2 linked regions of the Struthio camelus genome follow. The protein of the gene in region 2 interacts with the protein of the main gene of each other region in a biochemical or structural test. Links are inferred from orthologs where the notes say so. Each region holds a gene or a part of one and is shown on either strand. Other genes may lie near its edges.

Evidence for each region.
Region 1: the proteins of CEBPA (region 2) and TRIB1 form a complex in vitro, tested with the Homo sapiens proteins (2 studies listed by BioGRID and IntAct, with this or other methods). The link is inferred for Struthio camelus from reciprocal best matches to the Homo sapiens genes CEBPA and TRIB1.

The regions. Positions count from the first base shown.
Region 1 is NC_090943.1:161,114,460-161,129,493, reverse strand, and holds TRIB1 (tribbles homolog 1), read right to left. Parts: upstream 8,058-15,034; 5' UTR 7,987-8,057; coding exon 7,977-7,986; intron 7,387-7,976; coding exon 6,800-7,386; exon of another isoform or gene 6,764-6,799; intron 6,318-6,763; coding exon 6,025-6,317; intron 3,873-6,024; coding exon 3,404-3,872; 3' UTR 1,587-3,403; downstream 1-1,586. UniProt on the Homo sapiens protein: Adapter protein involved in protein degradation by interacting with COP1 ubiquitin ligase. The COP1-binding motif is masked by autoinhibitory interactions with the protein kinase domain.
Region 2 is NC_090951.1:12,251,536-12,266,872, reverse strand, and holds CEBPA (CCAAT/enhancer-binding protein alpha), read right to left. Parts: upstream 5,201-15,337; 5' UTR 5,069-5,200; coding exon 4,094-5,068; 3' UTR 3,133-4,093; downstream 1-3,132. UniProt on the Homo sapiens protein: Transcription factor that coordinates proliferation arrest and the differentiation of myeloid progenitors, adipocytes, hepatocytes, and cells of the lung and the placenta.

The sequences.
Region 1 (15,034 bases), on a different chromosome or scaffold from region 2:
GTTTGATGCTGGTTTAGGGAGGAACCCGTGAGGTAGTGAAAAACCTCAACTTTTTTTGTTTTCAGCAGAAAACTGATGAGAACTGGAGGCCCCCAGCATTTTTCAGAGAGGTCAACAACGTCTTGCAAACGCAGGACCAAAACGGTCACTAGCCATGAGAAATAAATGAAGAGATCCCTACAGCCCTTGTCCAAAAGGACCATTTAAAAATAGGCAAATTATGACTCTCTCAAAAAGAAATGTATGCATTGCATAAATCAAAGTTCTCACACCCACCGTCAAAGTTTAATCACTTAATATGCTGGTCTTTCAACATGCTCTGAAACTTTGTATACACTAATACAAGCGATGGGGTTACGAAGCAATAGCAATTTATTCTGCTGTACAAACGGATGTTGCATGATAATCCTTAAAGCAACACAGAAGCCCTTTGCAGATGTTACTACAGCTTAGCATTTATTTTAATTGCTCTGCAGTGTAGCTCATGTGAAATAAAGTCATGGGGTGACCTACGCACTCACCTACTAAGGGTGACTTAATTGCAGACCGAAAGGAAAAAAAAAAAAAAAAGATGTTTTGAAAGTTTTCAAGGTTTTACCAAAACACAAACCTCCCGCAGCTGTTTGAAGAAGATGCATCAGGGCTTCTGTCCAAGATCTGAAGCATGGCAGGGCGGGGGGGGGGGTAATTTAATCAGACGGGCTATGTGACGCATGTATTTTTACTGCTCTTGCAAGAATAACTTCAGCAAAGTAACTTGAGATTATTTTGGTGTTTGACATTCACTCGGCAAAGTGCTAAGAAAATATGCTTACTGCGCAGATCGCTGCTTTCTTATAGCGGGAGTCGAGGCACCTTGACTCCCTCATTAAAGTCAGTGCACTTTTCTTTATCACCGGCCGGGTACCTGCTCCCTCGTTTCTCCTTCAGCTCACTTTCTAAATATAGAGCCTTTCGAGCGTTGCTCTGGCTCAAAGAGCTGCCTGGAAGCGGTTGCTCTGGTGAACAGATTTCAAGCAGAAGGACAAAGTTAAACATGAGGCAAAGTATAAATAAAAACCAAGCCTCTCTTCCTGCTCTCCGCTCGCTAGGGATGATCTCACCGCGCTGGGTGGATTACGAGGACGGCTCGATCGCTGCCGGGAGAGCACATTCCCTAACCTCCATCCTGCTGCTATTTATAGCCCTCGCTGGGAGCCACCAAGAGAAGCGGCTCCCGCAACCTTGCGTTTCGCTTTTGACGGGGGCGCGGGGCTGGCGAGCCCGCTGGCTGAAATGCAACAGCGAGGGCTGCGGTTTCTCCTCGTTTGCCCCAAAATTAGGGACCCCCTTCCACTTCCCGAGCGGTGGGGAAGGCTGCCGCCCTCTCTACCCCCCAAGCGCCCCCAGCCCCGCCGGCGATTCGGCCCGAGCGAGGACGGCGGGAGCCGGTGCTCAAACGCCCGGCGTGGACGCAGGCGTGACGGGGCACGTGCAGGAAGCGCAGATTTGCCCCATCCTCTTGGAGAGCAAGACGTGTTTCAGAGGAAGCCGCGCGTGTTCAAACTGCATCCATCCCCCGGCCCCGCAAGGAGCAGGAACAACCGTTATGAAACCAAGTTTATTAAAACTTTCTACAAGTCAGACTTTATCATCCAGGTTTCCACAGGATATATACATATTTACAAGGTGGACATAGTGTTTTTAGCTTTTCTGGCAGAGTCTTCTACCAATATATACAAACGTACTGCTTTTCATAGAAGGGTTAAACTGTATCACAGATACAAATGTCAAGCAATCATGAGAGGTTTAGTGCAACGGAGAGCGGTAGCGCCCTGCTCTTAATGCTCATGATTCTGTCAAGTTAGTATTGCCAACAAGAATTCACATTAAATTGCTCTTCGACACCTCTTAGTAGGACAAAGGAAGTACAACAAAACAAAAAAAGACGACACCCCTCCCTCCCCCGGCCCCGAACGGTAAGGTATGTACAGAGCACGCAGCCCATGAGGTATACGTGGTATTCTCACCACGCGTGGTGGCACGGCACCTTGCCGCGGGGGGACCCTTCCAACGACCTGGTCGTCGCCGGGCCGTGCTGGGGATGCGCACTAACCACCGAACATCCCTTTCCAAAACCGCGCTCGCGCCTAACGCGAACGGACGTCTCTTGACACTGGACGCAAACGTGAAAACAAAGCAGAAATCTTAGGCAGGACTAAGCTTGACTTACCCCCAAGCCAGGCAGCTAAGGATTTAGATCTATTCGTTATCCACGCACATTGGAAAGACTAGGAATAATCATGCAAAAAAAAAAAAAATTTTTTTTCTTTTTGGGAGGGGAAAAAAAAAACGTAGCTGGAGGCAAACAACCTTCCCCCAACAATCAACTTAGGATGTATAGAGATTTTATGCTTAAGACTACCTTCCTGGGGATGGGGGGGGGTGCAGGGAGAGAGAAGAGATGTGATGTTTTAAAGACTTGAGCCTGCAGGAAAACACAAAAGTGTTTACATGTACTGTACAAGATACCCCTTATGGTTTTCGGAGGGAAGGCGCCCCACCCGATAGTGTTACATTTTGGTAAACGGATATGTTTTGGCACTCAGAGCTGACAAAACCTGCTACTTGCAAAACTCACTGAGGGCATTAAACCATATAGAATAGGCCATGGTGACTTTGGGCTTAAGTACGTTTAAAGCACTTGCACGTTCAGCAAATGAAATCAGAGGGTGTGCGGCTGCGAGATCCACTACTGTCTCCTTCGTAAAGAGTCACAGCAGCGCTCGCGGTAGTGACTTGTCTTACGGATGGATCTTTAACAGCTTCACGTCATTTACCTATGGAAAAAAGCTCAACTGGAGCAACGCGCAGGTAGCCGGACGCGGCGGATTAAGACCTCCTTCCCTCATGACTTACAGTCAGAAAACCACTTTGCAAGACTGCCACGGTGGCACTCCAAGTCGATTCCCCTTTTTACCAACTCCTGTCAGATTTGCTCAGCTAGGAAGGTGCCTTGTGACCCCCCCACTCGCTACCTTTCACCGGTGGGACCCTCTTAGCCGCTGAGGATGGGGAAACCCAACGTTTCTGCCTCTTCCGTGCCCAGCAATAAGGCTCTGCGATCAAAACTGAGCTGGTCACAGCAGCAGAGGACACCGGAGGCATCAGATGAGCCAGGTGGCTCCTGCGTGGGTTCTCCAGGGCCAGCGGCAAGGACCCACCAGCAAAGCAAGCAGGTGAGACTCGGCATACACTCAGGCAGCGGACCTACTGCTTGACATTTATTTTAAACAAGGTCACTTTTCTGACCCTACTGGCACTTTAAGATGCTGTGAATTTGCAATGTGGAAAAAAAATAAAAAAAAAACAAAAAAATGATGCCGTGCGTGAGAATTGTGAGGTTTTTCTGAGATTTTCAGGATTAGCAGAAGAAGGAACTAATATCGTCACTGTCTCCGTGATATTCTGGAACAATTTGATCCGAAGTTCCCGTTTCCTGGTCTGTATATCCAGGCTCCAAGACCGCTTCGAACCAAGGATGAAGCAAGATCTCTGGAGCAGTGAGTCTTTCGGAGGGCTCCCGCCTCAGGAGGCTGCGGATGAGGCATCTGGCTTTGGGAGAGACGTGGTCAGGGATACAGAACTGTCCACGCCGGATTTTCGAAAAGAGACTGCTAGGATCCGAGTCGTGGAAGGGATAGCGTCCCACCAGCAGGGTGTAGAGCATTACTCCCAAACTCCACACGTCAGCTGATTTCCCGGAGTAAGTCCCTGTCGTGTTGAGGATCTCAGGGCTGACATACGCCGGGCAGCCGTGTTTGTCAGAGAGCGCGTCATCTTCGCCCTTGATGATGTGCGTGTCTTCCAGGCTCTCGAGCCGCAGCTGAGTCCTAAGAAGCGCAGAAAAGGCAGGCACACGTTATAAATCTGCGGTAGCGAAAGACGGGCACGACTTTAACAAGAAAAGCCGGGGCAACCCCAGCATCCCTGTCTCGCTTCAGTGCAAAGGAAAGGGAGAGGGCGGCCACTTTTCAGCCTGAGATGGAGAAGTTCTCCCCGTTATCCTGGAGCCGTGCAGCGCAAGCGCGGCTACGTGCATCAGTGACGCCCTGTGTGCCCAGGCGGTGACGCCAGCTTGTTTACCGCGGGGCTTTAACAGTATCGGGGGCTCTCGAGGAACAGCAGCAAGCTGCCCTATAACCGCGCCGGGTCAATCTGCTGCGGCGCGCAGCGCGCGCTGCTGTTTGCAGTCCCAGCTTTGAGCAAACAGCGTGCAGCTGCACGGTTGTTCAGACTCAAAGTCCACATCTCCTCTGCGCTTGGGGTTATCCTCAACCCTCCTCATCTTTTATTTTTGCCCTTTCCAGCTGGTACCACTGCAACGGGCAGCCTCCCAAAGAGGGGTCCACCCTGACCTGCTGTTTGGGTTAAAGCAGAGCTTTTAATGAGTCAAGGAGCCGTTCACGTGCTCTGGGAGGGCTCTGCTCTGCCTTGCAGTCTGCTGGGGTGTAAATGCGTTAACTGCAGCCTGTCCTCGGTGTGACCTCCTGTTGTAATGCAAAATACCCATTGGTTCTGTAAACGGAAAATATGACTCAATGCGGACTGTGGGCCCGGGATTGGCTGCTGCAGCGCTGAAACTGCACCTGTGCTTGCTAGCCGAGGAGTCTGCCTCGCGTTGCTTAACCCTCTTGTTGCCAAATTTGATGCACATGACATTAGCCTGTGCAATGCATATTTCCAAATTAGCGAGACTGTGTGCAATCTAACATTTCAACAAATGTTTCACCTCATTATGGGCGGGAAAAGCTGCAATAGCTTCCTTCAAAGGAATTACTTTCTTTGCATGACAACATATGGTTGTTTCTGTGTCAGAGGGGCAGTTCTAGTTCATTTTCTTATCATGTTCGTACGCTGCATCTTCAAGGAGTATCAGCCGAGTTCAAAAAAATACACTTTTCTCTGCTTCACTAATAACACTTCAGGTTTCATCAGACTAAGCACAACTCCGTTAAAGCTCTTGCTTATTATAGCCGTCAATGGGATAAGCACCTAATCAATGTCAGTTTTGCTTATTAAAATACATTTCTGGCTCTGCCGTGCTAGTGATGGATCTCGAGAGCAGCAAACACACCCGGGAAATGTGAACTAACTCCCTCATCTAAAATTAAAAAGTAATTGTGAAAGTATTCCTATTAGAATCGGCTTAGAATCATCTCTCTATAAACCTATGCTTTAGGCTAAGTTTTATCAAGGTGTTGCTTTGTGGGGTTTTTTTTTCCCCCCCTTAGAGAAGAATTCCCAAAGTCAGATTTAACCATGTAACACCCTCGCTCCTGTGCGTGCCCACGTCCACGTGTACGTGGGGTGCAGAAACCATCAACGTCACCGCTGGCAGGGATGAGAGAGAGAAAAGCTTCAAAGGGCACAGCAAATCTATCCTTAGAAACACAACTCTGATAAGAAGCTATCAGAGAAGACCCTTGCTGGTGGCTCCTCTCTCGGCGCTGAAAGGTGCCGGGGGGGGGGGGAACCACCAGGGGCAGCTGGCAGGGCCATGGGGCTCTCCCCGGGAACGGGGATTCCTCCCTCTTCCTGCTGCCAGAGCAGAGCTGTTATCCCTTTCGCGTGCCTAGTGCCTGAGCCTCCTTTCGCCCGCGGTCTGTGCCTTTTAGTCATTTCTTGTCGAACGCATTGCACGGATGATATATATTTGGACATCTGGCGCTAAGGAGCGCTCGCACGATCATCCCTTTTTCCACCAAAGGGTTTCGTCAAACTTTTAGTGAATGAGTGCAGGCTGACGCTGAGTTTCCTCAGCTTCATCAGTCAAGATCGGACTGAAAATAAGCGCGGACCAATTAGATCCGTGACTTATTAAATATACGTAACATGGACGTACTCGGATCTTGTAGGTGACGCCTGGTTTACCTGGAGATTTCCACTCCCTGGAATACTTTTTGCCTAAAAACATGGCATTTCTCAGTGCGGCAGTTCTCCCTAGCGCTCCCTCCCAGAGGCTGGCAGGCGGTAAGGGCTTACCTTTCTTCATTAGAAAAGACAAATTTCCTGAGCTTGAGGTCACCAAGTACGATGGCCGACTGGTGGCAGTGAGCTACAGCTGAGACGATCTGCTTGAAAAGCCGGGCGGCTTCCTCTTCCCGCAGCCTTTTGCAGCTCCTCACATAGGAGTGCATGTCCCCAAAGTCCTTTTCGAAGAAGACATAGGCCTTGGTGTCTCCGAGGATCACTTCTACGACCCCGGTGATGTTCCTGTGTGACGGCAGCTGAATGTAAGGCCGGATCTTGTCCTGGTAGTGTTTGAGAGGGAACACCTGTAAGGAGGAAAGTAAAGCGAAATTCATTGTCAAGGCGTTGAAACCGGCCTCTCTCGTAGCAACTCGCCCCAAACAATGATGAGGGAGCTGGAAAAGCGCCAACGCTCAGCAGCAAAGCTGTTCCCGAGACCCCTTCCAAGGCTATTAAAGCACTGTTAACTTTATGTTGGGCGGGGGAGCACCACCCAAAGCCTTTAATATCCACCAAGAGCCTTTCAGGTACTCTAAGGTAATCCACAGCCGGAGCTTATTTTCCGCGCTGGCAAACGCCCGCCGAGGGCAGCCGGATTTGGCCGCCGGTGGAAGCGGGCAGCAGCGGGAGGGTGTTCTGCGAGGGCTCCGCGGCGCCGCCCGGCTGCCCCGGCCAGTGTCGCCGGGGCTGCTCCGCGCCCCGCGCCCCGCGCCCGGCCACCCGCAAGCCCGCCGCCGCCCGGCGTGGTGGGGGAGGAAGCCGCGCGCCCGCGCAGCGCCGCGCTCACCTTGCAGCGCAGCTCGCGGCCGGAGCTGACGCTCAGCGCCCGCGACACCTGCTCGCGCTCGGCCAGCGGCAGCAGCAGGTAGGAGGCGATGAGGCTCGGCCCGGCCCCGCCGCCGCCGCCGCCGCCGCCGCCGGGCGAGGCCGGGGCGCAGGGCGAGCCGGGGGCGCTGAGGCAGTCGGCGGCGCCGCCGGGGCAGTCGGCGAGGCGCGGGCACTTGGCGGCCGGCGCTTCCTCGGCGGGGCCGTCGGGCAGCGGCGGCAGCCGCTTGGCCGGGGCGCTGCGGCAGCGGGCGGCCGGCAGGAGGAGCGCGGCGGCGCGGCGCGGCGGCGGCGGCGCCGGGCGGCTCATGGAGGGGGCGCGGAGCGGGCGCGGAGCGGAGCGGAGCCTCCGGCCGCGCCGGGGTCGGGCCGGCGGCGGCGGCTGCTGCTGCTGCTGCTGCTGCCGCCGCTGCTGCTGCTGCTGCTGCTGCCGCCGCAACGCGGGGCTCAGGCGCGGAGCGGCGGCTGGCGCATCGCCTCGCTCTCCCCGCCGCAGCCCCGGGCCGTGTCCACCATCTGCCGCCGACTCCGCGCTAAAGTACTTGGAGGCTTTTAAAAAAAAAAAAAAAAAGGAAAGAAAGGCAGCGAGGTTTATCCCCTCCTCCCTGCCCTGACGCAAGGGGAAGTGGGCCGGGGCCGGGGCGGAGGCTGGCGCTGCCGCCGCTGCCCGCCCCGTCGCGCTGGCCGCGGCCCCGCCGGGCGTCTCGCACCTGCGCTGGCTCCAGCGCTGCCGGGACAGGGCGCCCCGAGCCCCGCGTGCCCCTGGCGCCCACGCGGGAAGCGTGGCTCAGAGGCGCCCACGCTGTCGGGCAGAGCGGGAGTCGCGGGCAGCAAAGGAGGAGCACGGCTTTGGCGTTTTGCAAGCCCGTGCTGGAAGCGGCAGCAAGGGTGCCGCTGGGGAACGGTGCCAGCTGCCGTAGCGCCCCGCTTCCCCGCGGGACAGCACCGCTGCGCCCTTCTGGGGGCTGCAAACACAACACAGCCAAGCCAGGCTGCTTGTCAGGACAGACAGCGGGCACAGCCGCGCTCGGCGCCGTGCTGTTCGCTGCTGGCATCGCCAGCAGTTCCTGTTTGTCACTTGTCGCTAATTAGCCATTGCTCACCGCGCAGTTTGCATCACGAAGCTGGTGCGTATTTACCGTCGGTCATTCACGAGCGCGGATTTCTGCGCCCCGTCAGCAACGCTTCGCCTTGGGGGTTGCCCGTTTTTAAAGCATCCGCTGTCCTGAAAGGTAACAGAACGGAGAGCGAGCCGAGGGAGCGCCCTGCCAAGCGCAGGGTCAGCCTGGGCAGCCGCGGGCAGGCTCGGAAGCGCAGGCTTGAGGGAACACCAAGTCGGTTTGCAGCCAGGGTTGCTAGTAAATGGAGGAAAAACAAGAGGAAAACAGACAACAAACGATCGCTGGAAAAAAAATAGAGTCAGCCGTAATTCTGACAGTTCTTCAGAAGGAAACTGCTCCCGGCTCTTCTATTTACATCTATGCAAATTTTCTGTAATTCAGTACTGAGGCTTGCACAATAATACAAGGAGCCTGGGCTTTTGCTAAGCTGCAGAATCGGTTTTGTATCGCATCTTGAATGCCACCACGCTAGTGCGTTTAAACAGCAGGATGTTAGAGGACTAGATAGGGTTCCTCCATTTCTCAAGCCTGTGGTTGCATGAAGAGCAGGTATTTGCTGAGATTCCTGATAGATAACTGCACTGCAAAGCCGTGCATGCCTTCAGCTACTCCTAGTGTATTTTAAGAAACATATGAAACTCTTGTGCTGGATGACTCATAGCATAGCAGTCCCATTAATGCATTTAAACACAAAATGCATATGCCAAAAAGGGATATCCCAGGGGTTGCATTTTCCTTTTTTTTTTTTTTTTGTTTCAGAAATGTGATTCTATTAATGTCTGCAGATTGCTTCTGAGCAATTCACCTCAACTCTCAAAGCATGCTCTTTCATTTTGTCCCTTTCATAGATAAAACATGCCTGATTATCCATCAGACTTTTGTTTTATTTTTCCCTTCCTGGACTTTTTACAATTTGGATACCATTGCAGGTTTAATTTAGTTGGTAGGATTTTGCATAAATAGGCTGCATGCTACATCTGAGATAGCGTACTGGGGGCGGGGGATGAGAAGGGGGTCAGTGCTTTTTAGGGGCAGGGTAATAGTCTAGACACTTCACCAAAATAACAGTGGAGCTACAAAGCCTTACTCACCAGCGTTATTAGCATATAACACCATTCACCATACTTGTCCTTCAGACTCGTGTGGTGATTTCGTATGCGCAGGAAGTGAAGACGTTAAAGTAAACACCAACTGGTGAACCTGCAGTATGTACGTGCCTTTGGTCCTGGCCCTCCAAATGGTCCCTCTCTTCCCGTTCATAGGCCAGCACAAAGTATCTGTGAGCTCAGATACGTCTTAAGGAGCAGACCGTGCTGAGAAACCACTTGCAGAAATCACAAGTCTTGTCCCTCACCTCCTCGGCCTCTGGCCCCACTGGAGGGCTCCTGGTGCCCGTCCGGCCACGGCCAGCCCAGGAGTCCTCGGCGCGCCCGACCCGGCCCCGCGCCGCCAGCACCTGCACGCACGCTGCCTTCGAGACACCGAGAGCCTGACGATTCCTGAGGCTGGTCCTTAAGATGGCCAAAAGCCCCCTGCTCATCCCGTGCCCCTAAAAGATCAACCAGAGGTGCAAGGGAGAGTGGAGCACACAGGTGCCGCGATGTCGCACCCAGCCCAGGACGGCCTGTGGGCTTGTCCCCCCCCCCAGGCCAGCCGCCTCCTCATGCTCTCCCTGGGACGCTGGGCTTGGCCACCCTGGAGGTGTCCCGCCGGACGGGTGCAGGCATCAGCAAGGAGCCCCACAGATGCCTCCAGGGCCAGCAAAAAGGTGATTCAACTGCCCAAGAGCCGTGTGGCCCTCCCAAAGTGCTGCTCGGTGGCCTCTCCTAGCAGGCTGTACAGACTCCTAGGTGGACCATGCTCCTAATTCTGTTGCCTAAATGTGGCTGAGGTGAACCGAGGCGTAAATCTCCCAGGGTTAAACTCTTTGCAAAACGGAGGCAGTTCATTGCAGCAGGAAGCTGCCGCTGCTTCTTTAAAATGCTTAGCATGCTCTTGGGTACTCGGAGCATTAATATCATGAATAAATATATAGTAGCCATGAAAGGTTTAATCATTAATCAAATTAATGATGCTCGCCTTGTCAGTTTTAAGTTTTGGGTACAGATTGTCAGAAAAGGTCCACATGCAGCACCCCCTCCCTGCTAATTCCTCCCAACACGTGTGGCAGAACACAACAAGAAGTGATTTGCTATGGTTGTACTGCGAAGCAATGCAGAAAGGACATAGGAGGAATTCAAGGGAGCGGTGTGTGAAGAACTGAAGAACTTTTTGTAGCTTTCTAGTGTTAGAAAAGTAGTGCAGAATATGAGTCTACCACACTTCCCACAACAGTCACGTGTTATAGATTGCTCCCCGGGCTTTTAAGCATCCAGGCATATCCAGGCGTATCTCCCTCATTAGTTTCCTCTTGAAATCAAAAGCCACTGATATCTTCCTTCTTTTCCCTGCACAAGCCTTCGTCATTTCATCTCTCCCCCCTGCCCAGGAAGATTTTTCTCATGCTACCTGCTTAGCATACATGAAGAAAGAAATTCATCTCTGCTCAGGGAGCCAGCAATGAGCCATAGCATCTTTAATCTTCAACTGTTTCAAGGACTTCAGAGGTACCCTGGGCATTTACTACTGCATCTGAATACCTTTTGTACCAGCTGATCCCCTTTATAACGGGTTCCCAGGAAGCCCAGGGACTGAAGGCATTTTGGGGGATGGTTTGGGATGATCCATGGGGCATCTGTGCTCTCTTACAGGGTGCTGTGCGTTAAAAAAGGATATTTCTGAGGGCTGCCATAGGTTATAAGAGGAGATGAATACTGGTGCTGGCAGTTCCCAGCTATGCCAGGGATGAATTTGAGTCTAAACAGGTCACACACAAATATTTCAGCTAATATTTAACTGTCAGGCAAATGATGAAAAGTAAATATCTGTATTTTACAAGTTAGCTCAAGCCATGTCATGATATTTAAACGACTAGTAGATTTAAAGCCAGCCCTTCCAAATGAAGCAAGGCGGTCTCATGCATCTCAGATGGATAGCACTGTAAAACACTGCAAAGCACAGATCATTGCAGAATTACATTTATAGACTTAACTTTGGGATAAAATACTGACTCTGTGCATGAGTCTTGTTACCTAAGTGCCAGAAAAACGAAACACTATGAGCTACAATCCCGCATACTACAAGGAACCAAGCACACAGCCTTGGATGCTCAAATACAGGCTGGGTAGGAGTAAGGTGGGGCAGGCCTGGCCTTCGAGGACACGGATCACTAATCTGCGTGCAACAGACACTTTCCAAACGCTAAAGAATTCTAAGGAGTTTGCAGTCAAAGGACGGTGCAAAATCTGGCCATAAATCTGATCCTGCCTTGGAAAAGGATGATCGAAGCAATCAGGGTTGCTTGCTGTCTTCTCTCTTCCAGGAATCCCAACTGCTAGGCAGGGAGTTGGCGTTTGGAGCAGAGGTGACAGCCTGTGGGATGGCTGTCACAGTTTTGAGGCATCCCAGCAGAGGGAAAGGTCTTGCTCAGCACACATTGGCTAGAGCCATGGCAAGGTAGGGTGAATATTCCTTTTCATATATATTTTTTTTCCTTTTTTAAAAACAGGTAAGCAGTGCTATCGCACCTGCTAGATGAAGATTTAAGAAGCTGGAGATATTTTCAGTTGCTCATGCTTTCACAAGCTTTTTGCATTCCCTTTTCCTGATGTATTACTTTATTTAAGGGAATTTTTATTATGTGGTATTCAAGCATCTACCCGTCTCACCCTCAGCCACTGCCTGCCCGCATCTGATCAGCTGCTTTTCCTTAGATGCTCACGAAATTATCATCTCTGCTGCTCCAGTTCTCTGACCCTTTATCTTTTTAACTAGAACAGCCAGAGGCAATGAGAATTGTGTAACCATCTCCCCACTTCCCAAGTGCTTGGGACAGGTCTGGTTACTTTGATAATATGTCTCATGGGATACACAGAGTAAATCTGTGTTAGATTAGGCCACTTATAAATAAACTGGCTGCTTGCTATGGGAAGAAATTAAAAACTCATCATTTTAGCTATCAGATGAGAAGAGTCATCACACACAAATATTTCAGCTAATATTTAACTGTCAGGCAAATGATGAAAAGTAAATATCTGTATTTACAAGTTAGCTCAAGCCATGTCATGATATTTAAACGACTAGTAGATTTAAAGCCAGCATTTAAAACGAGCAAATAGTCCATAATCTACTACCGTAGTGCTATGTGAAAGCAACCCGCGTGGAAAAAGTCTGAGGTGCAATTGTGTGGCCCAGTGATAAAAAGAGCTTACAAGTTATGTTTTTTACAACAAAATCACATCGTGATAAACATGCAACCATACTAAGACATTCTGGAATTGAGTGACAGATTCAATGTTAAGATATAGAACGCATGACAGGCACGCAGGGACATCAAACAAACTGAAATGTAATGATGTTCAGACGTCTCCCCTCAAGCCTTCACAGAAACTGTTCTGAGGCTTGCTATTGCTAGGAAAACTAAATAATTCCCTTTTGATAAGCCAGTTGTTATCAAATCCAAGGAGTCTCATGAGCAGCACCTCCTGACTTTGTTTCTTCATGGACTAAAGCACATGAAGGCTTCTTCTGTTACTTGAAAGATATGTGAAGGTTCAGGTTTTAAACCTCAAATCCTGTTTTTACTTCAGAAGTTGATTGCACAAGCGACCAGTGAATGAGTGTCTCTCCATTTCCCTTGCGGTCAGAGAAGATCCTATTCATATTGAGTTTACAAGCAAACACTTCCTTTGGTAAGCTTCCCATGCAATTCAATTCATGTGAGTGCTTGCAAGCTCTGTGTTCAAGTCCGGACTAAAATCACAATAAGTAACTGAGGCAAACTCTCTCCTTAGCCCTGAATCTCCATTTTACGCAGTGTTTTGAAATGATGAAACACAGTTCTCATCTACCTCAATGCAGTCCCATTAACTCAGTGAGATTACTCGTGCCTCACAAAGTTAAGCACTTGCATGGGTATTTACTATATGATTTCCATTCATCCTAGAATTATACCTGATTAACAATCAGTGTAATATTTTTACTTCTTATAATTACTTGCTGACAACACAGAATCTGGTAGCATCTGTGCATATGATTTTTCTCTGAGCACTGCTGTGACCATGTTCATGTCTTTGAAATAATATATATTAACAGTATTTTATGACCAGATAATAAATTGTTATATATGAATGATTATATAGGTGTGTGTGTGTGTGTGTGTGTGTGTGTGTGTGTGTGTGTGTGTATATATATATATATATATATATAAATTAAATGCAAGATTTATTTGCAGTTAGGATGTTAAATATATATATATTTTAAAAAAACCTTCGATGACTGATCCCTTTGCAGAATAATCTTTTCTTGTAACAAGGAGAAAGGAAGACTGGTCCTTAGGATATTCTAACATTTTCCACTCCAAGAAGCACCCTTACTAGGTGCACCCTTACTGTGTAACAGAGCACTACCTATTATTGAAATTTCCAGTTAATGGGCCACACAGAACCTCAGGAGAGAGGTTTTTACATGGAGATTTTTTAGGCTGGATGGAGATTAACACTCACTTGAAACTGTGGTAGAAGTTAAATCAAGTTGCACAGTGAATTCTAAGTTAATTTTGGCCACAAGACTAGAGCTATTCTTGAGAAAAACGTCATGAGGTACTTGTGACCACAGGTAAGACCTTTGTCATCAGCCACTCATGAGGAAACATGAGTATATCCAGTAGGACATTGTCTAAAATAAGGCAGTGTGTTGGCCTTGGCTGCTGAGTCATCGGTATCACTTCCTGCAGCCCCTGCTTTTGCTCCGGGTATTTCTCAAGGGAACACTGACTTAGCCCAGTCTTTTTGACTCTTCCAGAATGAATAAGATCGCTGCTCAGGAGCGGTAATGATGAATATATCCTTGATTCAGAGGACTGTGTGCTCCTTTTAGCACAAGTGTGCTAAATCTTCCATGAGGTGCCTGCCTGATTGTGTTTTTCTTTATCTTTATACTTCCTGCTCCCACTGAATTGAAAACTTCAGAGAGCGTTTCTAGTTTTAAAATGGAGAATTCTGTTTAACTGGGATAATCTGTTCAAGCGAGAGAACTGTGTTAATGGCTCATGCCTCAGGGTACCACTGAAAGTCTTTGCATATAGGTCTCTTTTGCTTTTTATTTATTTTAATGTTTGATCAGACATTTCTTTAATCGCTTGAAATGTTACATGGAACTTCTCTGGGAGAGACCAATCCTCAGCATGTTTCAGTGCGAGACCCCTGTTAACCACATCTAGGTTTTCTGTATTTGTAAAGCACACCTTATGGAAAAACAAAAACAAAAACAAAAACACTAAAACCCAACCTATGAGTTTCTTTCCTTAAATATTATTGCAAAATTTTCTGACGTCAAATAATGAGACACACATTACTCTGTGAACTGTTAACATAGCGTGTTTACATATGATATCTTATAGCCAAAACAGATTAAGATTTGAAGCTTTAACTGCTGTTGAGTTTCCACTTCTGTGAATCATAGGGATCAGCTTATTCATCATCAGACACTTCATTTTCATTCTTTAACTCTTTCAAGCTACTTCTGTCTGGAGCAGAGTTGTGCGCAACAGAGACCACATCTGCATAAGGAGGACACTATTGCTTAACAAGACCTAACCTTTGCAAGTGAAAGAGCAAAGAGCTGCCAACAAATACAAACAGCCACCCCAAAGAATCAGTAGCATTTTATAACTTCCATCAAAAAGTCAGCTGACGGGCACAGCAGCCTTCCTCAATTGCCAAGGCAGTTGTGTTTTTCTACCCAGTGAAGTGCCAGGTGCAATTCAAGCTAATGATCAAGCCCGTAGTATTTCAATTTCAGTTGGAAAATTACTTGTGAGCACCAACAATAAGAGAGAACCAGCCATGAAAAATCAGCAGGATGGCTCAAATTCCAGGTCCAGAGAAAGAAATTCACTGGTCCTGCCTGGAGTTCCTTGGATGTTAGGATGTAAATTAGAACGAGAAAGGCCAAACATTTTGGGGAGTGGAACTTCA
Region 2 (15,337 bases):
TCGGGACTGTATTCTCATGCTCTAACCACCAGATTACAGTCCCTCCCACATATACCCTGCAATAATCTCGGCTCAGATGATAACAGCATTTCCCCACTTTACATGTTGGATGGCATTACTAAGTACAACACATCATACGCTACAGGAGCACAGCTTTACAGGGCCGGGGGAGAGGAAACATGAGTAAAAGTCATTTTTGCTGGACACCAGTAGAGCTTAACTCTACTAGTTCCCAGGCCCCGGCTTTAAATCTAACTGAAAACCAAAATCTTTAATCCTGATTCATCTTTTACACATCCCATGCTGTGAGCACTCACAGACCGACTGCCATGACAGCTTTTGGTCGACCAACCTTACCCTTTCTCAGCTCAGGAGAACAGATGTTAATGCACTCGCAGCTGCTGTCAGGACGGAAACCCTTCCTGGAGGTGGTGAGGGTACTCTGCGCACCCAAAATTGCGCCTGAACTGGGATGTTGCTTCACGCCTGTGGGCACAGCATAGGTTAGAGTGAAACTTGAACTAGTACAACCATATTCAACCAGATTTGGGAGTTTTTATGAGGATACGTGTGGGCTTACGGCCCAGGTATCACTGCCTCAGACACTTGTGCGTTCAAACCTGTCTTTTAGGCTTGTCCGAATTCTGTTATCACCGTGTGCTGGGACGCTCCAGTACCGGCAACAGCGACGGGGAGCCACGCTGCCGGTGGACACTGGGTGGGGAAATAACGTCACCGGGGGCCAGCAGCCACTGGCGCGAGCGGCCCATGCCAGGTCAAGCCGACTGCCTGGCCAAGCTGTGGCCGAGGGGGCCAGGGCTGGCGGGGGTCAGGGGCTGCTGGGGGTCAGGGCTGGCGGGGGCCAGGGGCTGGCGGGGGCCAGGGCTGGCGGGGGCCAGGGGCTGGCGGGGGCCAGGGGCTGGCGGGGGCCAGGGCTGGCGGGGGCCAGGGGCTGGCGGGGGCCAGGGCTGGCGGGGGCCAGGGGCTGACGGGGGCCAGGGCTGGCGGGGGTCAGGGCTGGCGGGGGCCAGGGCTGGCAGGGGTCAGGGGCTGGCAGGGGCCAGGGCTGGCAGGGGTCCAGGGCTGGCAGGGGTCAGGGGCTGGCGGGGGTCAGGGCCGGCAGGGGCCGGGGGCTGGCGGGGGTCAGGGCTGGCGGGGGTCAGGGCTGGCGGGGGCCGGGGGCTGGCAGGGGCCAGGGCTGGCGGGGGTCAGGGGCTGACGGGGGCCAGGGGCTGACGGGGGCCAGGGGCTGACGGGGGTCCAGGGCTGGTGGGGGCCAGGGGCTGACGGGGGCCAGGGGCTGACGGGGGCCGGGGACTGACGGGGGCCGGGGACTGGCGGGGGTCAGGGCTGGCGGGGGTCGGGGCTGGCGGGGGTCGGGGCCGGCGGAGGCCAGGGCTGGCGGGGGTCGGGGGCAGATGGGGGTCAGGGCTGGCGGGGGTCAGGGGCTGATGGGGGTCCAGGGCCGGCGGGGCCCGGGCTGGCGGGGGTCAGGGCTGGCAGGGGTCAGGGCTGGCGGGGGTCAGGGCCGGCGGGGGCCGGGGGCTGGCAGGGGTCAGGGCTGGCAGGGGTCAGGGCTGGCGGGGGTCAGGGCTGGCGGGGGCCAGGGCCGGCAGGGGCCGGGGGCTGGCGGGGGCCAGGGCCGGCGGGGGCCAGGGCCGGCGGGGGCCGGGGGCTGCTGGGGGTCAGGGCTGACGGGGGTCCAGGGCCGGCGGGGGTCGGGGGCCGGCGGGGGTCAGGGCTGACGGGGGTCAGGGCTGGCGGGGGTCCAGGGCCGGCGGAGGGTCCAGGGCCGGCGGAGGGTCCAGGGCCGGCGGGGGTCCAGGGCTGGCGGGGGTCAGGGCTGGCGGGGGTCCAGGGCCGGCGGGGGTCCAGGGCCGGTGGAGGGTCCAGGGCCGGCGGGGGTCAGGGCCGGCGGGGGTCCAGGGCCGGCGGGGGTCAGGGCCGGCGGAGGGTCCAGGGCCGGCGGGGGTCAGGGGCCGGCGGGGGCCAGGGCTGGCGGGGGTCAGGGGCTGACGGGGGTCCAGGGCTGGTGGGTGTCAGGGCTGGCGGGGGTCAGGGCTGGCGGGGGTCAGGGCTGGCGGGGGTCAGGGCTGACAGGGGTCCAGGGCCGGCGGGGCCCGGTCTGGCGCCCCGCGGCGGGCGGTGGTAACCTTACCTGGAAGCGCGGCCCGAGCCCCAGGGCCGTCACGGCGCCGGCCGGGCAGGGGCTGCTGAGGGCCGACCCGCGGGGCCGCCCCCGCCCCCGCCCCCGGCCCGGCCCGGCCCGGCCCGCCGCCCGCCTCCCCCCGGGCCCGGCAGGAGCCGCCGGGCGGGGCCCGAGCGCCCTATCGCCGCCGGCCCTCGCGCCGCCTCCCCCCGCCGCCGCCCCGGCCCCGGCCCCGGCCCCGGCGGGGGAGGCGGGAGGCGCGGCGGGGCGGCCGCGGGGGGGGGGGGGGGGCGCGGGCCCGGCCGAGGCGGCGGCGGCGGCGCTGAGCGCCTCGTAGCGCCGCGGGAGAAGAACGGGAGACACAGCGGGAGGCGGCGGGTGACGGTAGGATATATGCTGTTTATTTATGAATGTAACCAGGACTTGGACAAACTTTATATGCGGGGTGTCCCCCCCTCCCTCCCCACGAATTCAAAACAAACAAACAAACAAAAAAACACCCCACCCCACCAATGTGTGTGCATATACATATACATAGGCATACCCCGAGCCCACGCACACGCCCCACGCACGCTTCGCACACGCGCCCCGGGCGCCCTGCGCTCCTCTCCCCCGACGCCTGTTCCGACCCGGCTCGGGCCGCGGCCGCCCCGGGAGGAAAGCCCTCGCCGGCTGCCGGGGGACGCGCTCCGCCGTTTATTTTCCTCTCTCTCTCCCCGCCCGGGGGAAGCTCCAGAGTCCAAAGGTGCCGGGCGCCGCGCGGGGCCTGCTGCGCGGCGGCCGCCGGCCCCCCGCCCCGGCCCCCCGCCCCGGCCCCCCGCCCCGGCCCGCCGCCCCGGCCCCCCGGCCCGCCGCCGGCCCCCCCGGCCCGCCGCCCCGGCCCCCCGGTCCCCCCGGCCCGCCGCCCCGGCCCTCGCCGGGAAGGCCACACGCGCGCTCACACCCACCCACACACATCATAAAATAACGTTGCAGCACAAGGGCATAGTCTCTGTCACCAGATAAGGAAGTCGTGTGATGGCACAGAGCTAAGTAATGCAATAAAAATAAAGTGTAGCTAGTATACACGGAAAGGCTTTCACATTACATGAGGCACAGCTTGGGCAGACCGAGGAGCTCCATGTCCTGGAATAAAGCAAAATACACTGAAAGTTCCTAGTAAATACCCGCATCGATAGGTATTTATTCATTTGTGCTTCGCCATGCCGTGACATACAGTACAAGACGCTGCTGCTCCTCGTTTCGGGGGAAGGAGGTCACCGTGCTCCCTCGCAGTCCTGGGCGCCCAGGGGGCTCCCCGAAAGGCGCAGAGCCTGGCGGGGACAGTCCGGCTAGCAGTCCGGCAGCTCTCCCACGCCTCGGTGCTCCGAACCACGGCGCCCAGCTCCTCTCAGCCTTGGTTAGCCCTTCTCGCTGGGCGCCCCGCAACGCGCCCTCGCCTGCAGGCCGGCCGCGCGGGGAGGCCCCAGCCTGCCCCAGCCGGGACCCCCGCCTGCCCGCACGTCCCTCGCCCTTCTCCCTCAGGCCCTGCCAGGCTGCGGGGAGCAGAAAGCCCCAGAGCTCCTGCAGCCAGCTTTTAAGGCACAACGTGGGTTGCTCTGTGTGCTTTATTATTATTATTTTTACCCTGTGTAGACACGTGGGGTTTTTTTTCTCCCTTCCCTTCGCCTTTCTCCTTATAAAACCCACCATGTTCTTCAGCTTATTCGTGTGTCGTCCCTAAGGCACAAACCTTTTAATACTACTACAGCTGCCTGGCTTCTTTTATTGGTCGTTAATTGTTCCAAACCAAAAAAAAAAAAAAAGAAGAAGAAGAAGAAGAAAAAAAAAACACAACCCCCCGTGAAACAATCTCAGGTCGCTGCGCTCCGATGTAAGTCATAGAGATAGGTAAGGGCGGGTGAGCGGCGGGCGCGGCGCGCCCCGAGTCCGTGCCGGCGGGCGCTAGGCGCAGCTGCCCATGGCCTTGACCAGGGAGCTCTCGGGCAGCTGCCGGAAGATGCCCCGCAGAGTCTCCAGCTCGCGGGTGAGCTGCTCCACCCGCTTGCGCAGCCGCTCGTTGTCGGTGGTGAGCTCCAGCACCTTCTGCTGCGTCTCCACGTTGCGCTGCTTGGCCTTGTCGCGGCTCTTGCGCACCGCGATGTTGTTGCGCTCCCGGCGCACCCGGTACTCGTTGCTGTTCTTGTCCACTGTCTTTTTCGATTTGCTGCGGTGGTCGGCGGGCAGCATCTTGAGGGCGCCGGCGGGCAGGCCGCCCGGGGGGTGCGGGTGGTGCGGGTGGTGCGGGCTGGGCACGGGCGTGGGGGGCGGCGTGGGGTGCCCGGGCTGGAGGTGCATGGTGGTCTGCGCGCAGTGCGCGATCTGGTACTGCAGGTGCGACGGGTGCTGCTGCGCGGCGTGGTGGGGGTAGAGGGCCGACAGGGCCGCCGACTTGACCTCCTCCTCCTCGCGGGGCTCCTGCTTAATCACCAGCGGCCGCAAGCCCGGCGCCGCGATGCGCTCGTAGAGCGGGTCCAGCTTGCCGTCCAGGTAGCCGGCCACGCAGCCGAAGAGCGGCTGCTGGTGGTGCTGCGGCTGGTGCCCCGGCGCCGAGGAGGCGGCGCCGGCCCCATGCATGCTGTGGAAGTCGAAATCCCCAGCCAGGATGGCCTTGGTTTTCTCCTGCTGCTTGCTGTGCTGGAAGAGGTCGGCCAGGAACTCGTCGTTGAAGGCGGCCGGGTCGATGTAGGCGCTGATGTCGATGGAGTTCTCGTTCTCGCAGATGTCGCCGAGCTCCGCGCCGCCCGCAGCAGGTGCCGCCGCCGAGGGAGCCTCTCTGTAGCTGTAGGCGCTGCCGGGCAGGGGAGTCTGGAGCTGGTGGTGCTGGCCGCTGCTCATCGGGGGCCGCGAGTCCACCTCGTAGAAGTTGGCTTGCTCCATGAAGCACCTACAGCGCGCCGGGCATGGTGAAGGGCTCCTGCAATCCAGGTTTCGGACGGGGCGGCGGCGGCGGCGGCTCTGCCAAGCCCGCGGCGCCCCGCGGCCCCCCGGCGGCGAGCGGCACGGCGGCGGCGGGCCCGGCCCGGCCCGGCTCGGCTCGGCCCGGCCCGGCTCCGCTCGCCCGGAGCCCGTCCCCCGCCCCAGCCCGCCCGAGCCCCGCTCGCTGCCTGCCTGCCCCGTTGCTAGTGGGTTGCCGCGGTCCTGCGTGCCCTATATATACACGCCCGCAGCAGGGCCGGGGATCGCCCTCTAGTGTCCAACCTCCTGCTGGGAACCTTTGACCGCCGCGCAGCCGGGTCTTAGCGCCCTGGCAGCGCCGCCCGGCCCCTCCGCGGCCCCCGCCGCCCCCGCCGCCGCCGCTCCGCGCTGGCCGGGCCGCTGCGCGCCCGCGCTCCCCGGCGCCGCTCGGCGGGGCGGCGCGGCCCAAGGCGGCCGGGACGTTTGCACCGCCCGCTGCCAGCCCTGCGCCGCGCTCCCCGAGCCGGCAAATCCCCGGCTTAGCTGCGGAGAAAGTCTCAAAGTTCACCACCCCCCGCGCTTACTGGCAAATATTTGGCCAGTCTGGAGCAGGAGCCCGGCCGTGTTTGCCCAGGGCACCGACGGCGGGGTTTCGCCGGCGGGCGTTACCTGCCCAGAGCGCCCTGTTGCCGGGCGGGCTCGGGGCAGGCTGCGCCGCATCCCGCGGCGCCCCGGCTTCCCCGGCGGGGCGGTCGGCCGGGCGGCGGTGAGCGCCCCCGCGCCCCGGGCAGCCCGCTCCGCAGCCGGCCGGCTGCCCGCCTGCTGGCGCGTTTGCTTTGGCCCGAGAGCCGCCCGCCTCGGCCGCGGAAGAGCCCTTCGCGGGCACCTGCGGGGCGCCGCTCGGGCGGCCGGGGCTGCCGCCGCGCCGCGGGGGGGGGCCCGGCCCGGCGCCCCGCGGCGAGGGATGAACGCGTGGGTGCCTTCCCCCCTCGCCGCGCCCCCCGCCCGAACCCAGCAGGTAAATGTGACTGCAGGTTTCCGCAGACCCGCGACGGGCGCGGGCCGGCTGCCGGCGCGAACCCGAGACGAAGCCGGGTGCAGCTGGGCCCCGGCTCCCCGCGCCGTGCAGCGGCACAGCAGCCAGGCGGCCTGCCGTGCGCCCGGCCCTGCAGCCCTAGCCTCCTTGGAGACACTGTTTGCCTTCCCAGCCTCCGCTTCCTGGCTGCTTGGGGCAAAGCAATGTTCCCGCACCGCCGACTGCAGACACGACCTGCACCTCTCAGCTACCGTGACCTCTCTCCTAGGGTAGCGCAGTATGTTCCTGCAGCAGCTCCACGGACTTCCTAAGAGTCCGAGTTTCACGCTTCAGCTCGGGAGGGGTAAGGATGCACAGAATTTCCTCTTGTTGCTATCCCTGGCAGTCTGCAGAGCGGACCGATCTATTTGTTTTCCCTCTCTGGCCCTTTGCTTGTCTTCCAGGTGCACCTCAGGAAGCCACCCAGGCATTCAGCTACTGCTGGTCCAGAAGCTCGCTTTGAAACTGGCACAAGAGAAAGGACATGCCAAAGCCACTGGACCAGGTGCAGCCTAAATTTGCCAGAGCAAGATCTGCAGAGGAAACGATTCCAACATAGTGATGGCTGGGGTGAGGGGGTGGGGGAAGGGTTGTAATTCTTCGTCCTGGATGTCCTAGTAAACCAGAAACTTGTGACACAGTAAATTGCTTGCTCAGAAAGGGTTTGAAACATTCCTTGCAATTAATAGTATGGGACAAAGTCTTAAACAGGAAACAAAACTACAGTGTTCAATGAACCCTTTTTTTGTACTGCATATCACACATATGAACCTGTTTCATGAGCAAAAAGCAGGGCCCGTAGATTCAGATAGCCTTGTTGCATTCTAGTATCCTATCAGGAGAATCGAGTCTGTACCTACAGCAGGGAAAAATGTAAATTTACAGACTACAGAATATACCTTTCACTTTTCAATAGCAGTAGAAAAAAATCAAGCATAAATTCTTTTTATACATGGTCAATATTTTCTAAAATTGTACGTGTTGGTTTCAGCACTTAAGCGGTTCCTGAAAGGGGTATTTCACTGGTCGATTTGGAGCTGTAGCACAATCAAAATACCAGTAATAACTCTGAACAAGGTCATGCTACAGAAGAGAACCCTCAAGCCTGTGACAGAAACAAGCTTTGGATGCTTCAGAGTCTACAGTAAAATCTCCCAACTGCATCTGACTGTCTGAATTCTGCTTGTTCCACTCAAGCAATCCCATTCATAGAAAAGGGACAAATCCAGCCCTTGACATTTTGCCTACTGGGACACGCTCTCTTCTGGAACACCAGCTGGAGGTTCGGTTTTACTCCGAAGGCCTTATCTAACTCTGAAGTCAGCAGAAACAGGAGGGGGCCGTGCACGTTTAATATAAAAGATCAGTGCTGTGCAATACAGCAGAAGTATATAACTGTTTGTCACTTAATAACAATACCTACGCCTCTGTAGCCTTAAAACACTCTCACATTTTATAATCATTTTGAAATTAAGGCCTAGGCACACATTAAAAAACATTCAAAGTAAATCAGAAAGTTCAGGATCAGATTCCATTCCTAATTACTGTAATTAACGAACAAGTCCCCACAACTTAAGGACTGGTTTGCTCAGTCTTTTTTACACAGACCCCTTTTATCTAAGTTAAGAACTTTTAAATAATCTCTTTCTGCACGAAAACATAAATTCCTGTTCAAATTGTTTTAATACGGTCTAAAATGAGACTCCCAGACTCCGACAAATAAGAGCATTCTTATTCTTTTTTTGTCCCTCCCTCAACGGCAACTAAAACGTTTACAAGCTGATAATCTCTCAGACAAATGCCTATTTCCACATTCACATTAACAGAGATGGATACCAAATATTTCAGATCTAACATCAAGAAAAAATTTCTGTCTTGTTGCTTCACTTCAATGTGTCCGGGAGTTAATTCAGCTAAAAGAGGAAGGATGTCTGTTGCATATTATGGATCCCTGAAGCAGCACTGCTGTCAACTCTTGAGGGTGCTATTCTTCCATCTCAAAGTAGAGGTTGCCTCTAGTAGCTATAAGCTAGAGAAGGATTAGAAAAGCTGCTCCAAACTTCTGAACAGCACTAAAAGTCATTTATACCAAGTTAGTTGTACTGGTTGCTGTTAGTAGGGAAGGAAACTGAAAAGAAAGTCATAATCATGAAGGAATGCAAATATATTTGCTTTATACAAGTGAATTTCGTGACTGCTGGGGTTTTTAATGGCATCTGAGCATTGAATTCTCATTCACTTCTCCTAGACTCAGCTCCTGTCCTGTTCTCAGGCCTTCGACTCCTGTGGGCTGCAAAAGGGGTTCCCTCGTGTGTACAGCTACAACATCCAGGCTGGCTTTAGACGCCGAGCGGGCGTTACAGGACTCTGCTTTTGGTCCAAGGCCCTGGAAGTATAGTTCGGACATGGCATGCAGCACCTCAGTTAGGAAGCAGAGTGCCATTATACAATTACTTTACTGCCTTGTTAAATTAGAATATTTCATTGCTTTTGACAAAGCTCCAGAATGCCCTGTCTGCAGGCAAAGCTCTCCTAGCTGTGAATGCCAGCACAGTCCAGCGCCTCCTCTCTCCCACCTGTGGAGGGGGTGAGAGGAAAGGAGACAGAGTTGGCCAGGGGCAGGGATGGGCACTGTGGAGCAGGAAGAGGAGTACTGCTGCCCTGGGAATGACGGGGGGGGGGGGGGCAATATCCTCAGCTGGGGACAGCGCGGTGCCCTAAGCGTACCATGGGAGCAGGCAGGCATGGAGCAGTAGTCTTCTGGGTGAATAAAGAGCTAGCAGCCCACCATCTTACTTCTTGTGTTGTAATAAAACACCCACTTCTCCCCTCTCCTGTGCCCCAGGGAGGGGAAACATGATACTGCACATGTAAAAGCTGCCACACCATGACAATTTTCAAATGAAAAGGCTTTATGTGCCAAAGCCAATCCCCTTGGAAGCCAGTAGATCAGGATGCAGCATGGTATGACAAGTAAAGAGGACCTTCCCTTCAGCTGGGAAAGGCAACTGGTGACTCATTAGCATTTCTGATGTGCAAAGTTTGTCCAATGACAGATGACTGAATTACTTATCATTACGGCTTTTCTCATTTGGAGAAACAATGTTTACAGCTCCAGGGTGAAAAAACATAAATTATGCTATACTCCTCTTCCCTTTTCTTATCATTCCCCTTGTCTTCAGGGTCTCTGTGGCCATGTCCTCAACACGTGCTGTCCTTGTGCTCTACTCACTCCTGGCTCCTCTCCTGAGAGCTCAGTCACTTGCAATTACCACACTAGTTGACCGGGAGCATCTTTTCACTTCCTGACACTGCCTGACTACTGCTCACCCACCTCCTTTCACAGTAGGGATCATAACTCAACCTGTTTCCAGTTTGTCACCTGTAATCATGTACAATCAGGCTGTGAAACTGTAAGTGGTTTACCTGTCCCCAATTTTTTTACATGCTTAATGAGCCATTACATACACAGTTCCTCTTTTATGGTTAGGATCATATTTCAATGATTATATGCATGGTGACCAGATTATTCTGAATGCTTTTCAGATACCGCACTAAGTTCTGTCCCAAAGAAGTTACAGTTGAAATACCAGGAAAAAGTATGCAACAGTTTTGTTCCCCATCTCTCACTCTACTCTTTTCTTCTGCATTATTAGACTGTCACTTTTGCCTTAAGACTTCCTCCAACCATGTTTAGAGTTCTCCTACTAATATGTATCAATTATCCTCATGCTCAATATTTGCGCTATCCACAAATTGTCCATTCACTCTCTAGTCTTTTATCTCAGACTAGACAATAACCTGCCTTCTGTCCCACCTGAATTTATTTTTCAATCTTCTCTCCATCTTGCAAACTTCAGTGTTTTTTCTCATCATGAACAGCTCACACAGTCTTTAATTCATTCATGCTTACATCTTCCTGGGAGGTGGAGCAGTGTTGCTACTCTCTGTTTTATAGCTAGAGAGCTGGGAGACGGAATGACTTGTCAAGGCCACACAGGAAATAAGTGGCAAAGCTAGGAATTTTGGCTTTCACATGTCCTGAGCTAGTATCACAACCAGTGAGCATCCACAAATTCCATTGCTGCTTCCCTACATTTGAAACGCTTTATTTTTCACACATGTCCTTGCTATTTCTACATATTTTGACGGAAAAGTTAAATTAACTTTTATCTCGAAATAAATTTATTTCTGAAGTGAACTGCCAAGAAAATGTCATTCTTTTCCTTTTGATTTTGCCATTGTATGGCTTAAGGGAACATATAGGAAATATAGCTTATTTTCACAGACCCTACCCCTACACCACTGAATTGAGCATGAAGACTCTCTGATCTGAGCAGAAACTGGTGCAGTTTCTAGCAGACAAATTACGTAACAGAACACTAACATGGCAGTTAACAACACACTCCCAAGTCAGTTCCCAACTCTCCTTTTAGGGGAAGAGTGTTCCCAAATACTTGCTGAAGACTGCAGCTATTAATATACGGCTGGCTACTTCTCATCATATCATCCACAATATAATCCAAAAAAGGAGGTTTAACCTGCTGGTAAATCCAGAAAACAAAAAACATAGCTCCCTACTTGTATTTCCACACAGTTAACTCTGAATTCAGGCCTTTAACTGAGATGCTACATGAGCTGTATAGGGAACTCTGGCTCACAACTGTAAATGCCCAGAACTGCACCTAGGACTAAACACCGATGTAACACAGGTGTCTGTAGACTCACCATGCATAAAGACTGCTGGGCTCTACATCTGGGTTAGCATCATTATTTAAGGAAATCCTGCTAGTTAGCAAAATAGCATCCCGTCGCTTGTATGAATAATTCACTCTGAGGTCAAAGGTGTGTTATGATGATCAGCTCCTCCTAAAAATACTCATTTGCAGTATTAACTGAAGTAGCTAAGGCTCAACACATATATTGGTAACCGTCCTAGAGCATATCTCCATGAACATTGCACTATGACACTGAATCACATAGGAAAAAATACACAACTGTCTATTACATATGTGTTTTGATTTAGCATTAATACTTCAGAAATATGTATGCAGTCATCCTGGAGCAGTACTCATACATTTGCTTTTAAGGCAACAGGTAGTCTACCGGAGTAACCACAACTTTGTCAACATGCAAGGAGATCAAAAAAAGTCAATCCCCAATCTTCTGGTTTTCACAAGGTACGTTTACAAAGACGAGCTAATACATTTTGGGAAGGCCACTAAAGTAATGTAGAACCTTAGCACTGACTTAGACATAACTTTCTATGGATCTCAAAGGATTTTAAAAAGAAAATGGTACAGCGTGGCTTAGGCTTCATCAACCTTTCTAAGCAGTCCTTGTTTGCACTGTGGACATGATCCTGGGGGGGTATCTGCAAAACAACAACAAAAAAAATTATATTAGGGGAACATCAAAAATGTGTTAGGCACAAAAACGTGGATAGCAGGAGACCCTTTGCTACACAAGCAAATTACAATCAAAAGAACATGATATGAGAAGTAAGAGCTATAGGACAGGAAAGGAAGAGGAAGATCAGCTTAGAAAAATAAGGTCACGCTATTTCTTAACTACGTATTTTAACTTGTGACACATCCTGTCACAAAACAGTCCCTGCCATGGATGTAGTGTTCCTCTCTAAACCAACTTTACTCCCCTTTAGACGAGACTATAACAGGGATCTAAACTAATCTGAAGAGTAAAAATGTGGTAAAAAGTTACATTCTGTAGCGTAGTACAGATGTGAAAGCGTCAAGCTGGCACTCCAGAGAAGCACATTTCTGACACTGTTGGGAGGAACTTTAGGTGGATAAGAACTGCACAAGGCCCATCAGAGAACTCAGGGATTTGATGGGCTTTTTGCATTACCATTTCTCTTGCGTTCAAGTTATTGTGTGCTTCCCAAGTCACATAATGAGACAGCCTCACTATCCTGTAGGTCGTTTTTTAGTTCTCAGCCTGCAAACATTCCATGCTCAAGCTATCTGTGGAACAAAGTGCTAGGAGGCGGAAAGACAAAGATAATAACCTTTGGTGCAACCTGTCAACTTAGTGTCACAAAAAGTTCAATTTCAATGGCAGAAAGGTTTGGGGCTCCATTTGGCTCATATTTTAAAAAGTCAGGTTTTGTAAAGTACTGAACCTATACAAATAGAGAGCAGCTTCATTGCTCACCGTGGTTGCTGTCTTGTATCTGAAAGTTTGACCTTGCTGCTGAGCTAAATTCAGCTTTCTCTAATTATCCCACTGCCAGCCCAGGGATTACTGGCATGAGTAATCTAAGCAGGAGTTGGCCTACTAAATGTAACAAAAAACGTCAAAGGCAGGGAGAGGGAAGGGAGTCACAAGAAAGCTTTGGAAAGTTCTTAGAGTTAGCAGGGAACGTCACAAACGACTTCTAACTGCTGATCAAAGAAACAGCCGGTACATGGGAAACAACAAAAACACAGAGGAAGGAAGCAAGTCAGAGGCAATCTTGGCTTGAAGACGATTGCAGTTTTCTTATCAGTTTCAAGCCAATAATAGTGATACTCCTGGGACCAGAATTTCTCCTGACTCTACTCAGAATAACCGCTGCACAAAGATGAGACTTCAGAAGCAGCTTACACTTACAGGCTGGAATACTGTGCTGAAATTCCCGTCAGCAGCATATGGACCCTGTGGCAGAGTGATTTCACTGCCAGACTGACAGGCTGATGGGACAGCATCGACTCTTGTGGAACCACTGGCGGGTGACGTGAGATAGGGCCCTTCACTCCCTGCAGGGACTCCAAAGGTCACTGGAAAACTTCCAGCAAAAGGATCTGGCACTCCCAGCTGCAGAGATAACACCTATTTTGCCTTTTAAGTCTTCCCAGAGGGGTTACACACAGTAACGTTCAGCATTGCAGTCCTGTTAATAAAAATAAGGAGAGATTACTCGCCACTGCATGAGTCCTGTAAGACCTTTGTACTTACATTTTTCTGTTCAAACTGGAATTTTGTGCTTTAGGTAAAATAAGATAAAGACTTGTTTTAAGTGCAATAAGAGTTAACCACAAACTAGGTGAGTCTGATGATCAGTAGATCTCCTGAATGGATTACCAGTTTCTTAAAAATTTAGACACTAAAGTAGGGAGGTAACAAAGATATCTCAAAGTCTTATAGTAAAACAGTACCGACTACCTCAAATTATGATGCTTGAAGCAAATCATTCACCTGGCTTAGTTTTTAAAGGCAGCTGACAGCTGAGCTACTGAATGCCTCAAATAAATACTGTCAGAATTCACACGAATAAAAATAGAGGACTTATTTTGACGGAAGCCATCATCTTTTTCATTTGTTTTATGGAAGCAAGCATAAAAATAATTTTTGTTCTGCAGGAATGTTTCAGAAAGCAAAAATCCACTGAGAGCGGTGCTAGTTTACTTGCAAGAAGTTTTCATGCTGAAATGTTCATGAAGCAATGCTGAAAAGGCACTGCTCTTCAACTAGGAAGTGGAAACAATGTCATGTGACTTACTTGAGCAACTGATTCATACACTTAATAGCTGGGCAAAGTATAATCAAAACTAATCATTCAGCAAGAGCCCAGGGCTGAGAGGTTTCTAATTCCAAACAAAAAGCCCTTGGTAAACTACTTGTGTTTCTAAGTGAAAAACACACCAGCTATGCAATCAGGTCCCTATACTGCAAAACCGTGTAATTTTTTTGTCCTACTCCTGTGATTACAGATAGGAACTGGGCATAAGTTTTTGGAGCCTAAATTATTTACTCTGAATAATTCTTCCAGCTCTAAACAATTAAACTAGATGTTAATTTTACACAAATTAGACATAATATATTAATATCACCATAAATCCTACATTCCTTACCAAACCCAACAGTCTATTGAGTTAATGGGGAATGTGAGCAGTACAAATATTTATGACATACTCGTAGTAAATAGGAGGACATAAAGTGAAGTCTACTATGACAAAGTAAAATTGGATTTTAGTAAAAAGTTCTATGTTCTTTAAAAGCACACACACGTTCCAGATTTTTAATAATAAGAGTTGCACCATGCTAAAAAGAATTCATGAAACATATTTCACTTAGGTGCTAGAGTACTGAATTTTAATATATGATTTTAAAAGGAAGATGATGATTCAAAAATTTGTATGTCACAGAACCCTCAACATGGAGAGCATGAATCTTTTAAATATAGTATAGGAAAGGATCCATATTGCTTATCCGTAATCTTGCACTCAGCAGCCAAAGAGAAGGACAAAAAACGCAACTCAGCACAGAACCCTCTTGCTCCCCAGTGAGAGAAACAAATCCTGACAGTTACCATAGCCAACAGAGCTGGTATTTAGGCTGGATAAGAAAGTACAGTTGATAGCAGGTCAGTATTTTCCATAAAAAGGAGCTATTCCGAATCAGCATGAATATTCCGCTGCATTTCAGGAAGGCTTAGTAGATGGAAGTATTTATATAACTAAGTGTAGGGCTTATGGATCATTCATTTTTAACTTAAGTCATCAAGAGATCATTTGCATCTTAGGTTGTGTCTAGACCTCTCACTACATGGGAATGATTTTTATCCTTTATGAATAAATATGAAATAAACACTGGTTACCCAGCATAGCATGTCACTGATAACAGCCTGAGGCCCCTGCTCCCTTCTTTTGTACGGAAGGGCAAAACCCTGTGGGTCTCCTAACTATGGTTGTCTCTTGTACCTATCTGTGTAAGCTCAGCTGCTAATTCCATTGGATATGCAAACATTTGGGTCTGTATTTTATGGAAGACAATCAAGCCCCATATATTTGTGTCTCTGTTATGCTAAGATGAGCATTACAGTATTTTGCAGGATGAAACTAGATGATGACACTGTCCTTAAGAAAAATCAATCGATTATACAGTTAGATCCATCTTCAAAAATTGTTGCAGCGCACCCTTGATTCTAGCTTGAAAGTAAACAAACAAAAAAATCTGTGCATTCAGAAAGAGCATACCGACTTTTACATTTCTGCCAGGACTCCAGAAATATGACTCTGAAGAATCTAGGATTATAATAATACGCACGCATGTCTATTTTCATTCTTTCCTATGGAAATGAAGTTTTTGTGATCATGGTGTCCGTGTACGCATCTCTCCAAATGTTTCTTTAACAACATTGCATCCATTGGCATTTGATCTGAAACAAATCCGAG